4 linked regions of the Ovis aries genome follow. The protein of the gene in region 2 purifies or fractionates together with the protein of the main gene of each other region. This does not show direct contact. Links are inferred from orthologs where the notes say so. Each region holds a gene or a part of one and is shown on either strand. Other genes may lie near its edges. The genes, in order: CSTF3, CSTF2, CPSF2 and SYMPK.

The links.
Region 1: the proteins of CSTF2 (region 2) and CSTF3 fractionate together in Homo sapiens (co-fractionation; 4 studies listed by BioGRID and IntAct, with this or other methods). This does not show direct contact. The link is inferred for Ovis aries from reciprocal best matches to the Homo sapiens genes CSTF2 and CSTF3.
Region 3: the proteins of CSTF2 (region 2) and CPSF2 purify together in Homo sapiens (affinity purification with western blotting; 3 studies listed by BioGRID and IntAct, with this or other methods). This does not show direct contact. The link is inferred for Ovis aries from reciprocal best matches to the Homo sapiens genes CSTF2 and CPSF2.
Region 4: the proteins of CSTF2 (region 2) and SYMPK purify together in Homo sapiens (affinity purification with mass spectrometry; 4 studies listed by BioGRID and IntAct, with this or other methods). This does not show direct contact. The link is inferred for Ovis aries from reciprocal best matches to the Homo sapiens genes CSTF2 and SYMPK.

Annotation. Positions count from the first base shown.
Region 1 is NC_056068.1:62,534,571-62,538,983, reverse strand, and holds part of CSTF3 (cleavage stimulation factor subunit 3), read left to right. Parts: intron 1-631; coding exon 632-827; intron 828-2,884; coding exon 2,885-3,038; intron 3,039-3,754; coding exon 3,755-3,849; intron 3,850-3,997; coding exon 3,998-4,058; intron 4,059-4,413. UniProt on the Homo sapiens protein: One of the multiple factors required for polyadenylation and 3'-end cleavage of mammalian pre-mRNAs.
Region 2 is NC_056080.1:132,554,036-132,558,448, reverse strand, and holds part of CSTF2 (cleavage stimulation factor subunit 2), read right to left. Parts: intron 2,479-4,413; coding exon 2,355-2,478; intron 1-2,354. UniProt on the Homo sapiens protein: One of the multiple factors required for polyadenylation and 3'-end cleavage of mammalian pre-mRNAs. This subunit is directly involved in the binding to pre-mRNAs.
Region 3 is NC_056071.1:54,629,434-54,633,846, forward strand, and holds part of CPSF2 (cleavage and polyadenylation specificity factor subunit 2), read left to right. Parts: intron 1-2,753; 5' UTR 2,754-2,786; coding exon 2,787-2,935; intron 2,936-4,015; coding exon 4,016-4,175; intron 4,176-4,266; coding exon 4,267-4,372; intron 4,373-4,413. UniProt on the Homo sapiens protein: Component of the cleavage and polyadenylation specificity factor (CPSF) complex that play a key role in pre-mRNA 3'-end formation, recognizing the AAUAAA signal sequence and interacting with poly(A) polymerase and other factors to bring about cleavage and poly(A) addition.
Region 4 is NC_056067.1:53,164,834-53,169,246, forward strand, and holds part of SYMPK (symplekin), read right to left. Parts: intron 3,039-4,413; coding exon 2,912-3,038; intron 2,288-2,911; coding exon 2,038-2,287; intron 719-2,037; coding exon 548-718; intron 1-547. UniProt on the Homo sapiens protein: Scaffold protein that functions as a component of a multimolecular complex involved in histone mRNA 3'-end processing. Specific component of the tight junction (TJ) plaque, but might not be an exclusively junctional component. May have a house-keeping rule.

The sequences.
Region 1 (4,413 bases), on a different chromosome or scaffold from region 2:
TCAGAGAATTAATTTTGGCTGTTAAAACAGTGGTGAGGCACTAATTTGTCCCCAGTGATCCCTATTAATGGGAAAAAATAGAGAACAATCATGTTAGATTTTGAAATATATTTTTATTCATACATTGTACAAAGAATGTATTCTACATTTTAATTCATACCACTACAAAATGGTGAAGTCATATCATTCAGGAGTAATTGGAAATCTAGGTTCCTTTTCAACTCTTCCCCACCTAGAGTTAGTTTACTGTCTCTAGGATAAATGTCTCATTGACCACAAATGATAGGAAGTAGGCTAAATAAGAAAAAACTAAAAAAACAAAAAACAAAAACACGTTAAATATGAAAGTATTTAGGGTGAAAGGTTATGATGACTATAATTCACTTTCAGATACTTAAGTGAAAACATGGGGAAGCAAATGTAGCAAAATATTAATGATGACTGAATCTAGGTAATGGAATATAGGTACTCATTATACTACTCTATGTTTGGAAGTTTAGAAATCTTTGTAATAAAAAAAAAATAGATTCTTATAATTTTAAAAAGGGGAAGGAAGGGGAAGGAACTGGAAGATTTTTGTAAGTCCCAAACCCAGGATAGTGAAGTATTGATTATATTTATTTTCTTACAGAGAAATCTGGGCCCGATTTCTAGCTTTTGAAAGTAATATCGGTGATCTAGCTAGCATACTCAAAGTGGAGAAAAGACGGTTTACAGCATTCAAAGAAGAGTATGAAGGCAAAGAAACAGCTTTACTGGTAGACAGATACAAGTTCATGGATTTATATCCTTGCTCTGCAAGTGAACTAAAAGCACTTGGGTATAAGGTATGTACTTGGGCTCACGATGTGTGTGATGTCTTTACTTTCCCAATGTTTTAGAATAGTTCATGGACAAATTTTAAAGTAAATTCCGAAATTGAAATTAGTCTAGTTTTAGAATAGATTTGCAGAATACAAAAAGTTCAGGGATTTTCCTTGGGTTTGTGAAATATTATCAACAGTAATGAACAAAATGAGAATTAAAATGAGATTTAACAAACTTTATTCTTTCCTTGAAATTGTCAATGCCTTATTTCTTACATTTTGTGGGCAGGTGGAAAATCTGAATGTCACTTAGGTTAGTTTTTCTCTAACAGTTCTTAAAACTGAGGAGTGTGTTTTGACAGGAGATCTTAAACCAAATGTAATTCCTGATATTTATGTTGTAGATATAATGAAGAAACTTTATAGCTTGGTAAATCCATAAATTTCTTTGAAGTGTTTATATCTTGAAACAGGGCTCCTTCAGTGGAGGCCTTTAGGAAATTATTTCATCAGCCAAAAATTTCGTTCCATTTCTGGAACAAAACTGGAACAAACTTTTTCGTCAACTCAACAGCTTATCTAGGAATGGAACTCCTCTATTTGGACTTCTGCACCATTAAGAAAACAGATCTGGGACCTGAACTTATTCAGGCCAAAAGGAAAGATTAATAGCCTGGAAATAGCCCTTGGTGAGAAAACAATTGCTCTATCATTGCCTGGTTTTTCTGTGTCAGGTGAACAAAGACCAGATGAAAATCCAAGGGGAAGCGATATCCACATGAGTCCTGGATTGATTGGTCTCCTTAAGCCAGCCAGCTAGGATGTTCTCACCATCATTCTTCATTTCCTCACTGCCCTCTTTTAGCCTGAGTCTCACTGGTCTTGTGTCTGAACCAGATTAAAATAAACTTCAGACCTTTTCATTAATGGAAGCTCCAGTTGTATGCCAGCCCCATATTCCTATTCTGAACTAGGGTTACTGCTCAAGGTTGAGGGGATTCTGCTCCTGGTTTAACAAATTCTTAATGAAAAGCCAAAGGCATTTTTAAGACTGTTTTGTGGAATCTTTAGACTATTTCAACTTTGCCAAGTTGAAAATGGAAATTAAGGAAGTTAATGAAAATATCTTCATGAATTTTCCATCTTGTATTTCTGTTTATATTCTGTGTATTTGGGAAGGATCATTATGCTTTTGTGTGTGGCACATAAGTGAGAGTGGGAAAGAGAGGAATAAAAGCAATTCTCAGTGGGTGTCCTCATTTAGATTTGCCACCAACTGCATAAGAGCAAGTTTTGAGAACATGAAATTCTCTTATATCCCTTGATGCTGGCAAAAGAGGCTCTCTCAGAGTTGCCCTCAGCCCTGGCAGGCATTGCTGGGACACTGAGAAGAAGACAGAATGGGTGAGGTCAGAGAGGCCCGTGCTCTCAGCTCCTCTGTCTGCCTCCTAGCCATTTAACCTTGGAGATAGCAGAACCTCTTTGAGCGTTAGTCCCTTCTGTAAAATGGAGGTGATCCTATCTACCTCCTCAAAGAGTGAATGAACGGCAAAAATTGACAAATGTGGTTACTCAACAAACATTCCTTCTCCCCTCTAACAGTATGTTGGGAATAATTTTTCATTTCATTAGCAAAATCTTATGAACTAACGTTAAGTGATAAGCTTTGTTAGGTTTCATGAAAGAGCACCTTACTTAATCAGCTTCTTCACTTAGAGAACTTGATGGATGATGTTCAGTTTTAGTGGAAAGGAGATATCAGAAAATATCTAAAACTGCAGATTTTCTTCCAAATTACCCCACCTCTACCTGGTATCTATTACCTACCAGGTATATATATCTACCCGGTATGTATTACCTACAAAAGGATCCTACAGATGTCCCACCTGGTGACACTGAGTCTAATGACTCTTTACATTTGTCAGTCTTCACTGTCATGGAAGTTCTTGCTTTTCTTTCTCCATTCTCGCTATGGTTTTAACCGAGTTATTTAGTGTATCCTCAGGAGTGTAGAATTGCACAGTTCTACTCTTAAGTCCCTTTTTCAGGTTTAGGATTCTTCTGTTCTGCATTTTCAGGATGTCTCCCGTGCTAAGCTAGCAGCTATAATTCCAGACCCAGTTGTAGCTCCTTCTATAGTGCCTGTTCTGAAAGATGAAGTGGATAGAAAACCAGAATACCCTAAACCAGACACTCAGCAGATGATTCCATTTCAGCCACGACATTTAGCACGTAAGCCATGACTTTAGATCCAGTACTGAGACCTCAGTTTGTTTGTTGGTTTAATCCAGAGGTGTGTGGGGGTTGGAGGGGGCAAATTAATGTGACCTTTCCATTATAGGTTAATAATTAGACTCAGGGTCAATAATGACAAGTGATTTGGCTATAATCTTTGAATCAAGATGAGTTTAAAATGTCTTAAACAAAAAACTTCACTGATCCAGATTGCAGTAATGCATTTGGCAGTGATACGTAAGAGAGTTTTCTGAAATGCCACTACATACAGGTTACCTGCACAGCTGGAAGCTTACTTTGGTGATATTTGGTATTGTTTATACTTACTAATATGTAGTAGTCTCTGAATTCTATTTGAACAAGGCCCTTACAATGACAGATGTTACTGTATAACTGACTTTATGGGCTTGCTGAAAAAATGACTTGTGAGGCTTAGACATGATCTTTGACAAAAACTGACTAACTCAGGTTCTGGGTCATCTTATGCACAGTCACTTGTTTACTTTTCTGCCCCTCAGTGGCCATGAGGTTGAGACTGCATTCACTGTCTCACCCACTTGAGTTTGGTCAAACATATAAAACACTAAAAACATTTTAAGGTGTCCAGAACAAAGACTTTTTGTACATAGTAATTTATGTACAAATTACTTATGTTAGTTATTACATGTATAGACATTTCTTCCGCCCCATTCCTATATTCCTTTCTCTTACAGCTCCAGGCTTACACCCTGTCCCTGGTGGAGTGTTCCCAGTGCCACCTGCAGCAGTTGTTTTAATGAAACTTCTCCCTCCTCCTATTTGTTTCCAGGTTTGTTCACCATTTTCATGACAGATATTTGCTCTACGGGTAAATGTAGTAATTATGTACTTTTTCTCTTTTATCATGGTAAATACAAAGTGGGGCTATTTTAACTCATCAGATTACTGGGGATTAAGTTTTCTTTGTGTCAAAATAGGGTCCTTTTGTACAAGTGGATGAACTAATGGAAATTTTCCGAAGATGCAAGATACCAAATAGTAAGTGATGAGGCTCCATTTTTAGAGTGGAATTCACATTATTGTCTCCAAGATAGGAGAGATCGCCACTGAAGTTTCCAAAACCAGCTAGCCACCTTGCAGCAGTGCAGTGACACCTCGCAGGGGTCCAAACCCTCTTTGGTACAGAGAGGCCAGTTCATGTTCTAATTCTACTAAGAAAAATATCATAAAAAGCTTTTCTATTCATGTGAACATGCACTATCAGATATTGCTTATGAAAACTTTATTAATTTTAACCTTAGTTTTTTGTCTTTATTTAGTATCAGTGGTACTATCTCAGAATTTGCTAATAGGAGGCTACAAAATGATAAAGTATCCAAAGTAGTACATATGT
Region 2 (4,413 bases):
AAACATAGGCAAAACACTCTCTGACAGAAATCACAGCAGGATCCTCTATGACCCACCTCCCAGACTAATGGAAATAAAAGCAAAAATAAAACAAATGGGACCTAATTAAACTTAAAAGCTTTTGCACAATGGAGGAAACTATAAGCAAGGTGAAAAGACAGCCTTCAGAATGGGAGAAAATAATAGCAAATGAAGCAACTGACAAAGAATTTAATCTCAAAATTATACAAGCAGCTCCTGAAACTCAATTCCAGAAAAATAAATGACCCAATCAAAAAATGGGCCAAAGAACTAAACAGATATTTCTCCAAAGACAGACCGATGGATAACAAACACATGGAAAGATGCTCAACATCACTCATTACCAGAGAACTGCAAATCAAAACCACAGTGAGGTACCATCTCACACCAGTCAGAATGGCCTCTATCCAAAATCTACAAATAATAAATGCTGGAGAGGGTGTGGAGAAAAGGGAACCCTCTTACACTGTTGGTGGGAATGCAAACTAGTACAGCCACTATGGAGAACAGTATGGAGATTCCTAAAAAAACTGGAAATAGAACTGCCATATGACCCAGCAATCCCACTGCTGGACATACACACCGAGAAAAGCAGAATTGAAAGAGACATGTGTACCCCAATGTTCATCACAGCACTGTTTACAATAGCTAGGAATGGAAGCAACCTAGATATCCATCAGCAAATGAATGGATAAGAAAGCTGTGGTACATATACACAATGGAATATTACTCGACCATTAAAAAGAATGCATTTCAATCAGTCCTAATGAGGTGGATGAAACTGGAGCCTATTATAGAGTGAAGTAGGTCAGAAAGAAAAACACCAATACAGCATACTAATGCATATATATGGAATTTAGAAAGATGGTAACGATGTCCCTATATGCGAGACTGCAAAAGAGACACAGATGTGAAAAACAGTCTTTTGGACTCTGTGGGAGACGGTGAGGGTGGGATGATTTGAGAGGGTAGCATTGAAACGTGTATATTATCATATGTGAAGCAGACTGCCAGTTCAGGTTTGATGCCTGAGACAAGGTGCTCAGGGCTGATGCACTGGGATGACCCTGGGGGATGGGATGGGGAGGGGGGTTCTGGATGGGGAACACATGTGCGCCTGTGGCTGATTCATGTCAGTGTATGGCAAAAAATACTACAATACTGTAAAGTAATTAGTCTCCAATTAAACTGAAAAAAAAAAAATCCCTTCTCCCATTCCCTGTCAACTTAAGATCTTTAGACTGGTTTCTTTATAAAGCAGAAAAATTTAAATCCAAATTATCACCTATTAGTTGTGTTGCAGTTAATCTAAGCCAGATTAGATAAAATAACAAGTGAGTTTGTTGCATAAAAAACTTTAAATACATGTCATATGTTCACACAGGTGTTTCACATGAGGAATCACTATTCCACCCATAACATTTTTAGTTATGGTTACTGAATGATGAAAAGCTGTAAGTGTAATATTAATTCCTACATACACAATTTTAGTGAACATATTAGTTTTTAAAATTCTTTTTTCCTCTTGTTGTTGTCTCACTATAGTTCATGAAATACAGTGTTACGTTTGTTAAACATAATGGTAACAACACCAGGCATTTTGTTTTTGTTTATTGCCCCCCACCCAACCCATGTACTTTTTAACCTAACCTAACAGTCTCTAGCTTTTAGTGGGAGAACTGAGTCCATTCACATTTAGCAGAATGACTACATGAGACTTTATTCCTTCCACCTTAACTCTATGTTTATTATCATAACTTCACAATGTCGTTTCCTTTTCTCTGTATTTGTTGATTTGGTCTAGTTTCCATTCATTCTATTTTTCCCCTCATTAACTAGGAATTTTGTCATTCTTTGCCTTGCTCTCATAATCAGACATGTAAATTTGTATACAATAAATCAACTATTTGTTCCACCTAGGATATATACTGCCTAGCTACACATTAGTATCAAGATCTCGTTGCCACATCATAATTTTGCTATATACTAGGCCATTTGCTATAACAAAACACTGCTGCTAAGTAGCTTCAGTCATGTCCGACTCTGTGCGACCCCAGAGACGGCAGCTCACCAGGCTCCCCCATCCCTGGGATTCTCCAGGCAAGAACACTGGAGTGGGATGCCATTTCCTTCTCCAATGCATGAAAGTGAAAAGTGAAAGTGAAGTTGCTCAGTCGTGTCAACTCTTAGCGACCCCATGGACTGCAGCCTACCAGGCTCCTCCGTCCATGGGATTTTCCAGGCAAGAGTACTGGAGTGGGGTGCCACTGCCTTCTCCGTAACAAAACACTAGCAAAACACCAAAATGGCAAAGACTCTAAATGAAAACATACCTCCAGGAGCTAAGGAACCAGGGCCAGGTCCTGTTACAGTGGCTGGTATCTGCCCTGGTGCTGCAACTCCAGCCTGCAGGGAAGCTTGCATCAGAGGAGGCGCACCATTGACATGCATTCCACTCTGACCAAGAGAAAAACCAGAGTATGTATATGCCTCTGTGGAGATTCAACATGCAAAGTCTTCAAATGGACAGCACCAAATATTCTACCAAATACCCTTTTCTTACAGCATGTCTAATGCAACATTAGATTTATAACACTTTGAATAGAAGTTGCAATACATACAATGAACCTGGTTACACAGAACATGACTGAGAGAAAACATATTCTAAAAGTAGAGATACACAAGTCTTGTCTGTGCAGTGAGGCCATTTTGTTGTTCAGTGGCTCAGCTGTGTCCAACTCTTTGTGACTCCATGGACTACAGCACACCAGGCTCCCCTGTCCTTCATCACTTCCCAGAGTGTGCTCAAACTCATGTCCATTGAGTCAGTGATACCATCCAACCCTCTCATCCTCTGTCATCCCCTTCTCCCGCCTTCAATCTTTCCCAGCATCAGGGTCTTTTCTAATGAGTCAGCTCTTCGCATCAGGTGGCTAAAGTATTGGAGCTTTAGAATCAGTCCTTCCAATGAATATTCAGGATTGATTTCCTTTAGGATTGACTGGTTTGATCTTCTTGTAGTCCAAGGGACTCTCAAGAGTCTTCTCCAATACCACAGTTCAAAAGCATCAATTCTTTGGCACTCAGCTTTCTTTAGGGTCCAACTCTCACATCCATACATGACTACTGGAAAAACCATAGCTTTGACTAGATGGACCTTTGTTGGCAAAATAATATCTCTGCTTTTTAATACGCTGTCTAGGTTTGTCCTAACTTTTCTTCCAAGGCCATATATAGCACCTATTGTCAACTTCAAGACCAGGGCCTGGCAGTAAGAGGTTTTTTTTTTTTTTTTTTTTTTTTATAAGTGCCTTGAAACGAAGAGGAAAGAATTTAGGACTTTTTCCTTTTAAAAACAGAACTGTTTGCAGTCTATATTTTTAAGGTGAAAAAAATTTTTTGACCATTCTTTTCTCATCACTTTCCTTAGATACAATTCTTATTCGAAGGGAATGTAAAAAACAAAACAATTTAATGCTACATTAAAGCTCCTGGAGGGAAAGGGAATGTTATGTTTTCATCTGTGTATTTCCAAGAGAACTGAGGAGTCCCTTGGAATAGAAAGAGCTCAATAAATACAGAATAAAACTAAAGGATACAAATATTTTAAAAATCACATGGTCTCAGAGAACACACACGAAACTCTAGAACAGAAAAAAGAAAACTGTATAGTGAGGTGGTTAAGAGAAAACAGGCTATGAGGACAGATAGAACCAGGTTCAGATCCTGGATTTGCCACTTAGATTGTTATTTTTGGAGCAGTTAACCTCTCTGGATCTTAATTTATTTCTGCATTTACTGAATCAGAGCACAGGTTGGTAAACTATGACCCATGGGGCCAAATTTGGCTCACTGCTTGGTTTCATAGATAAAGTTTTACCAGAACACAATCATGCACATTTGTTTACGTATTCCCTGTGGTTCATTTCATACTCCAATGGCAGAGTTGGGTAATCAAGACAGATCCCATGGCCTGCAAAGCTGCCCCCAAATTTACTATCTGGCCATTTAGAAGATGTTTGCTGACCCTTACCATAAACCTTTGTATGAGTCATCCAAGTTGTTTACCTCTGCCAATCTAACAGGTGAAAAATGGTAGCTTATTGTATTTCATTCATATTTATCTTGTTTTGAAGTTGAACAGTTTTCACACATTTAATATATATCTGCATTTCTATCCTTATGAACAGTTCATGTCCATTGCATAGTTTTCTACTGGGTTACTGGCAAATTTCTTACTAATTTATTTGAGGTCTTTTTCGTCGTTGTTTATTGTGAAAAATTCCAGATATATGTTATAGAGAGAATAAAATAACCATACATCTTAGGAAACATATTCAGTCAGTTCAGTTGCTCAGTCATGTCTGACTCTTTGTGACCCCATGGACTGCA
Region 3 (4,413 bases), on a different chromosome or scaffold from region 2:
GGATTACTTTTGTCTTCTAATTGAGGAATGAGGTGATATTATCAACAGAGTAGGGTGGAGGGAAGGGTGCGTGATGCTTGAGCAGAGAAGAGATGTGAAATGATGGTCTCAGATGGAATGTCAACTTACTAAGAAAAATCAGATTGGTAGGTAGGACATAGTGCCTGTTTGAGATTTGGCCATGAATTTAAAGAGCAAATAGCATAGTTGTGTGATTGGCTTTTTCCCCCTCTGGCAGCATTGAGCTGCTAGAAAAGACAAGGTGCATGATTGGAGTGAGTGAGGGTTAGGATTTTGCCAGACTTGTACAAAGAAGGACTAGAGCTGCAAAACACTTGAGTATTTGCAAAATAATCATGATGGCTCGTGGATCCATATAACATGAGTGAAGACAGGAGATGGTCATGGACAGTGAAAAAGTAGTCAGTAAATTAGAGATACAGTGAGGCCAAAGGGTTTTTGCAGTGGGAATTCTAGAGTAGGGAAGGTGGGAGTGAGATGGGGAGATCGTTGAAAGTGAAGTTTGGAAAGTGCTGCAGTCATGATAAGGTCGTGATAAGGTCATGGTTTTGACTGTGGTGCCGGGTGGCTGAAGTGAAAAGACTATTGGAGTTGAGAAAGTCAAGAAGAGAAGAGGTCAGTAATGAAGCTACTCAGAGGAAGACTGAGTCAGGAACTAAAGTCCTCCATTAACGAGGAAGGACAGGAAAGGCTACGGCGAGCTGGCTGGGCAGCATGAGTTCAGCGGGACTCGAGTGTTTCCAGGAGGAAGGAGAAGACATGCACTGGAGGCTGCGGTGATGAACAGGGAGCACATGCTTCCTGCCTTTGAGGTCAGGGAATCCAGGAGATATAAGGCCTCTTGAGAAGGCTGGAGGAGACACAGAATCATTTGAGGAGAGCTAGGTTTCTGTGAAGATTTGCGGATGAGGAAAACCTTCAGAGAAGAGGGTGAAGTTCTCGGTGAGTGTAATGGTTCCAGAGGGAATACTGAAAGGATTTGGAAGGCAGAAGAGGTAATGAATTGGTCCCGCTAGGTGGACTTCGGTGATGATGGACAACCTCAGAGTCTTGGGTCTTTGGCTGTGACCGAAGTAAACAAGGATGGAAGATGTGGTGACAGTCTGTTAAGAAAGCTGGGCAATTTACCTTAATTTGTTGATATGACCTTGGGCAGATGTTGAAGGATCATCAGCTGTGCAATGACCTCTCTGTTTTTTTCACATAATAATAATTTTAATAATAGATGCTATAGAGCAACATTAACAGTAATGAAAAGGCACATTAATTAGAGGGAGGTCTAATAACTTAGAAAACTTTTGAATCTTTCAACATCCCCTTTTCTTCTAAGCACTCTAAGGATACATAACTGTGAATGAATAATTCTCTAACTTGCATAGTTAACCAGAAAAGGCAAATTTATTTTAAGAACCTAAGATCTGAAATCTTGCTGTGGAGTTGTGCTTTGCTAATGAATGTTTTTAATAACGTCTATATCAGTTCAGTTCAGTCCCTCAGTCGTGTCCGACTCTTTGTGACCCCGTGAATCGCAGCACGCCAGGCCTCCCTGTCCATCACCAACTCCCGGAGTTCACTCAGACTCACGTCCATCGAGTCCGTGATGCCATCCAGCCATCTCATCCTCTGTCGTCCCCTTCTCCTCCTGCCCCCAATCCCTCCCAACATCAGAGTCTTTTCCAATGAGTCAACTCTTCTCATGAGGTGGCCAAAGTACTGGAGCTTCAGCTTTAGCATCATTCCTTCCAAAGAAATCCCAGGGCTGATCTCCTTTAGAATGGACTGGTTGGATCTCCTTGCAGTCCAAGGGACTCTTAAGAGTCTTCTCCAACACCACAGTTCAAAAGCATCAATTCTACGGCACTCAGCCTTCTTCACAGTCCAACTCTCACATCCATACATGACCACAGGAAACATCTATATAGTAGCACACAATTCTAGGTCCTAAATCCCAATAGATGTTTTCATGTTGTATCTTCTTGAAATACATAGTAAGTATCCCAACTGTATGCCATCAGATATGTCTTGAACACCTGCTATATGTCAGAATCTCTTCAGGAAGTACAAACTATAAGGTACTACAATTGTTTATCAGTTGCTCATGTTCCAGTGCAAGGCTTCTTAACAAAATTCCCTGAAAAATATGTGAATTGCTACATGTATATGGACCTTTTTGTTTTTTTAAGGACTGAGGGGAGCAGGAAAGATCCATAGCTTTTATCACATTGTCAAGCGGTCCTTTATTTAAGGACGACTGGTTTAGTAATAGAGAAAGACACATAAACTAATAACAGTGTAATGCAGTGTAATCACTGCCATCTCAGAGCAAAATAAACGAGGAGCAAATTCACCTTGAAGAATAAGTTTGCTAGTTTAGTATACTACATTTATTTATTGAGAAACTTGCTGGTCTCCCTTCTAGGTAATTTATACATCATTTGAAATCTTCTAACATCCTTTTAATGTATATATTAATATTCATATTTTATAGGATACATAAGTGAGGGAAAATTTAACTAACCTGCTCAGAACCATATAAGTATAGATTCAAATACAGGTCAGTCTGATTCCAAAACCTACTACTTTTCATCAACCACAATGGGGGGCCACTGAAGGACTCTATATACAGGAGGGTGTAAGATTATGTTTGTACCTTCACACTTAACAATGATGGAAATAGGTCTTTAAAATGACTCTGCTTTTATGTTTAACTATGTTTTTATTTCTGTTGAAAGAACCTTTTGGATTGTTGTTGTTGGACCGAAAAAATGACATCTATTATCAAATTAACTACCCTTTCTGGGGTCCAAGAAGAATCTGCTCTTTGCTATCTTCTCCAAGTCGACGAGTTTAGATTTTTATTGGACTGTGGCTGGGATGAGCACTTTTCTATGGATATTATAGATTCCCTGAGGAAGTAAGTTACTGTTAATATTTCTACACTTTTAATAAATCAACTTCTCTTTTCTATGCTGTAATACTATTTTGATGTTACACAGTCTTTGCTGTTTTGCTCTAATTTAGTTGAGAGTAAAACAGTTTCATTTAAACTGAAGAACCAAAAAATGACTTTTTATTTGCGTAGTTTTGATTGACTTGTAAGCTGTGTTTATTGAATGTCACCAAAATCTTAAGTTAATTGTTACTTGATCAATGGATCTCAATAGAAATTTTTGCACCCTAATTTTAGAAAAGAGCAAAATTAAATTTATAAGAATTTGAAGAGAGGAAAACTGTACTTGTAAAAGTTCTGGAGTCAGATCAGATTAGCTTATTTTCTTTTAATCTTTTGATGCTTAGACATTTGAGAATTGGTGCTTAGAATAAAGCCCATGGGATTCAAAAGGATCTAATCCATCAAAGAAAAACTTAGTTGTGTTAGCAGTATTGTACTAATTATGGAATGCATGAGAACTTAAATATTGAAAAAACTGAATAAGAACTTATAGCAAAAAATTTTTTTGTTTCTTTTGTTAATGAGAATATATTATTCATTGACTAAAGTTACACTATCATGAATATACTGTCAGTCATTATGCTAAAAAGCTGAGACAAAAATCCATAATAAATATGTGGCCTTTTAAATGTCCTTTTCTTAACAATTTCTTAAATGCTGAGTTCTTGAACTTTAATAGTATATGAGATAGCCTCTTGAAATCAGTTTATAGGTGGTGTCTACTGTTTTCCTTCCTTTTTTGAAAAAACATGTCTAGACACTATATATTTACGTGCAACTCATACCAGTTTTGATCTCTGTGTAGGACAGGGGTAGTACTAATTGAAATTCATAGGTGACGTAATTTTAGCTCTCAGTTGAGCATGGGTTCTCAGAGTCGGACATGACTGAGTGATTTCACTTTCGCTTTCACTCTTTTACCCCATCATAGTCTTCAGCTCAGAATACTGAGAGGAATCAGAACCGGCAAATTAATTTTGAGTATCCTGCCTGTTCCTTTAGGAACAAGACTCAGTAATAGTCGTCTTGCTTGTGTCCTAGGCACGTTCACCAGATCGATGCGGTCTTGTTGTCTCATCCCGACCCCCTCCATCTTGGCGCCCTCCCCTATGCTGTTGGAAAGTTGGGTCTGAACTGTGCCATCTATGCAACCATTCCCGTTTATAAAATGGGACAGATGTTCATGTATGACCTTTATCAGGTAATTTAAGCAATTTAAAAAAAAAAACCTGTTTTAACACCCCTGCAGTGATCATTTTTAACCTTTTATTTGTATTATTTTTTTTTTTTAGTCCCGACACAATACAGAAGATTTTACACTCTTTACCCTAGATGATGTGGATGCAGCCTTTGATAAGATACAACAGTTAAAATTCTCTCAGATTGTGAATTTGAAAGGTAAAACATGTTTCCAGTGGCAAATAATTGGGCAAATGGTG
Region 4 (4,413 bases), on a different chromosome or scaffold from region 2:
ATGGCTGGGAAGGAGACATTCTCTTTCCCATGGGGTTGCCAAGAAGATGGAATGGAAGTCTGGAACAATTGGGGGCCATCTTTTCTACCCTAGGAAAGAGACACATTAGAACCAGGAGAGGGAGAGGGACTCTTGATCTTCACACACTCACGCCTCAGCCCCACACCTTTCAGTTTCACACATGCACAGAAGTAGAGACCAGGGTAATGAATCACCATGTAGCCATCAACATTTTGCTGATCTTGGCACATCTCTCCTCCTGCTTTTTTAGGGGAGACAGGGGAAGAGCTGAAGTATTTGAAGTACTTAAGACACCAGGTCACTTCACCCACACATACCTCAGTGTTAAAAGCAGCTCTGAACTACGTTTCTGTCACCTGCAATCACTGATAGATATGTGTCTAATCTGGAGAATCCTTCCTTATGTCCATAACCTACTAGATTGACGATGATGAATGCTTCAGAGGCCTGATATTTAGCCCACATTTTCTCAGAAAAGAGGAGACTGGTCTGTGGACAGGGGAAGTAGGGGAGGGGACCAACCTACCGTGGAGGGTTTCATAGGCCTGAATCACCTCCGACATGAACATGGGCCTCTGGCGGGCAATATTGGCCAGGGAGCCCAGGGCTGTGGTCAGGTTGATGGAGGAGATAGCAGGGTGCACCATGAACTTGAGCAGCTGCTCCAAGGCTGCCTTGCCTTCTTCCCACAGCACATCTAACAAGGGAGAGAAGAGGACCAGTTAGTAGGGGGCTTTCTCCCTGGCCTCCAGAGAGAGCAGTCTTTGGGACCAAAAGGAGATAGATCCTCATACATGGATGGCTGTGACTGGCTGAAAAAACTCAGGAGATTTAGTGCGTGATGAGTTTGACTATAATACTATTAATAAAAATCGAGAGATGACGCTCAAAGCATGGGCTTGCAATACTGACAAAGTAGAAATAATTTAACATATCCAACTATAAGGAATCTGTCTGAACTGCACTGATGCAAAACTCTGAATATGTATACATGTGGCAACACACAGATAAAGGACTTGAAATTCTCTGAACCACCATGTTCCTTGATCCAGTCACCAAAAGTTAACTCTAAACAACTGTGGCAAGTATCTTTCCTGACATTTATCATGCAAAAACCTACTGGATCCGACATTATACAAAACAGTGAATAAAATAGAGAATGTAATATAGGCATTCTAATGGAATATTTTGTAACATCTGAACATGATACTGTTTGGAAAAGATGCAACTTAATTTTTGTTGAGTTCAAAACGTGGTCAAACAATCCAGAAGAACATCTAATATCTGTGGAACGCTTACTACGCCAGCCATATAAACTCACCAAAAAGCTCGTACTAACACCCTAAAGGAGATGCCATAGTAACGACTCCAGATTTACCAATGAAGAAACAGGCTCAGAGAGAACAGGTCGGGTGCTCAAAGGCAGAGCAGGGATTCAAACACAAGCCATTCCACTTTCATGCCTCTCAGCTGGGAGTATTAAGAATGGCCCTGTTTTCTGTAAACAATAAACCCAACAAACACAGAAACTATGAACACACACATATAAATACCTGTCTTTGCAGAGAAAAGGTCCGAAAGGAAACAATACTCTTAGCGGTATTCATCTCTGAGGAGCAGGACCGGGGAAGGAAGTAATTTCCCTTTCTACTCCTCCGTATTTATTGCCTGACACTAAAACGTGCCTGTGCTACTTTTATAGTTTGCAATCAGAAAAACTGTGTAACCAGCTGGTATTTACTACTGAGTGCTCACATTCTCATGGAACAGCACTACAAGCCTGGAAGGGTACCATTACCACTTTCATTTTACAAAAGCAAGACAAAGTTCAGAAAGTAGTAGTTTGCCCCAGCTCACGTGAGTAAGAGCGGTAACGCTGAGATCTGAACGTGGCATCAGGGCTGTATTAAACTGATTCCAGAAATGAAAAACTAAGAAGAGAGGGGGAAAGGGGGAAGGAAGAGGAGGGAGCTGGTGCAGTGCCAGGCCAATGGGAGCAGCTGACGGGGCACTCACTGTACTGGATGTAGGGGTGGTCACGAGGGATGCGGTCCAGGCTGATGTCGTGCTCCTGGCGTCGGGGCACCTCCGAGTCGGCCATGCGGGGCGAGAGGGTGACGATGAGGCCCTCCACGAACTTGATGGCATGGGTACGGATGCCGTCGTTGTCAGAGTCCAGCAGCAGGATGATGTCCCCAGCCATGGCCGACACCATATCCCAGCAGGCCTCCTGGAGCTCACTGATCACCCGTGACTTCACCATCCACTGTGTGTGGGCCGGGGAGGGGCAGACAGACAGGCAGATGGGGACAAGACACCAATCACCAACTCCACCACAACTCAGAGATCCATCAACGATGATAAATACATTCACTGGGGACATGTTCACTGAATTACAACTCCGTCCCTGGCCCTGGGCTAGGTGATGCGGGGGACAGGACCCAGTGGTGACCACGCCAGGCCTGGTCCTGCCCTCATAAGGTTCAGAGGTAGTGACAAGGCTGAGTGTTGGAGGCTCAGATCTTAAAGAGGCCAAAGGAACAACAATGCCGACCTCTCAAGGTGGTGGCAAGAGAGTAAATGGATTTCTTCCTCTCAATAATGTTAATGTACATCGCACCACAGTGTGGACCCAGCTGGCCCATTTGGTCACAAGACCTGGTTCTCAGGGACCGTTTGCGGAATGCATAAATGGATGGATGGATGCAGGGAAAGATGGGTTAATGGCAACTCCTGGGCCTTTAGAACTCAGAGCCCCTCGTTGTCTGTCCCTAAAGATCGACAGCACATCTTGACCTCGGAAGACGGGATATGACGCTGGTTGTGGGCTCTAAGAGGCGAATGAGGCCTGTCAGGCTGGGGCAACCCCAGGCGGGCAGGGAGCCCCTACCTGCAGGGCCACCTTGTAGAGCTGGGTCATGGTGAGGATGGCCTTCTTCACCACATTCACATTCTCATCCCTCAACAGCATGTTGAGGTTCGCGATCAGTTTCAGCAGCAGCTCAATGTCTCGCTTGCTGGGGATGGAAGAAGAAAGGCAAGGTCAAGGTAGCCTTTGTACAGGTGATGGGAGCCTGCGGCCTGCCAGGAAAGGGAAATCAGGGCCAGTGTGTCAGAAGACTGGAAGGCAGATAGGCACCCGTCGTGTCTGCCAGCATCTGGTACCTTCGGACATAGGTGAACTCGACCGTGGTCTAGGTTGGTCCTGCAACGCCCACTCTCTCGTGCTATTAGGGCCCACAGTTCACCTAAGAGGCAGCAGTGCCAGACCACGGGTGTGAATCTGAACAAGCACCTTTGTCTCATTTTGAATAGGCCTGGAGGCCTGTTGTGAAAACTGCAACAATACATGTAAAGCTCTTAGAAGGGTATAAGAAAGCATTCAACAAATATTAGTCATTAATATTTTAAAGCACTCTGTCTTATGTAATCATGAGTTCTGTTTACTAATTTGTTTACCTAAGATGGAGGGCTCTGAAAGTAGGGGATTCTTTCCCATCCGAGTACTAGCAGATTCTCATTTTTTGTTGAAGGAAAGAATGAAAAGGCCTTCAATAAATATTTGTTCAGTGAATGAATAAATTCAAGGCTATACCCAGAGCTCAGAATGTGAATTTTTACATCACGTTACAATTTTATGTTAAATATTAAGCTAATCAGTCAAAAAATATGAAACTCAACCATCAGCTACATGAAGGCAGAAACAATATCTGTTTTTATCCAGTTCTATTTCTATAGCCTGACACAAATGCCTGGCACATAGCAGTCATGTGATACATATCTGGAACAAAAAGTGTTTTGGCAAACTCAGAAAACATACCACAGATTGTCCCAGTAATCTATGAAAATTCTGAAATACTATGTTACTTACCTGAAATTAATATATTATAAATCAACTATACCTCAAAAAAATATCACTTTTTTTTGCTTGTTTGGAAAAACAGTTAAATTTTTAAAAATCAAAAGTGCTATATATGCTAACATGTTAAAAAAAAGACAAAATTAGCGTTTATCAGTGAGGAGAGGGAATGGGGGAGGGGCAAGATGGGGGAGGGGGATTAAGAGGTACAAGCTACCTCATACAAAATAGATAAACTTCAAGGATATATTGTACAGCTCAGAGAATATAGTCAATATTTTACAATAGCTGAGTGGAATATAATCTATAAAAAATTTGAATCACCATGTTGTATATCTGAAACTAATATGTTACTATAAATCAAGTATACCTCAATTGGACAAAAAAAACTCTCCCAGTAAAAGATGGGAGATTGAGCATCTGGGCAATGGTGTTATGGACATGGGTTAAAATCCCAGCACTGCCACATACTGGCTGTGTGACCTTAAGAAACTCACTTCACCTCTCTGATTCATAGTTTTCTCTTCAGTTAA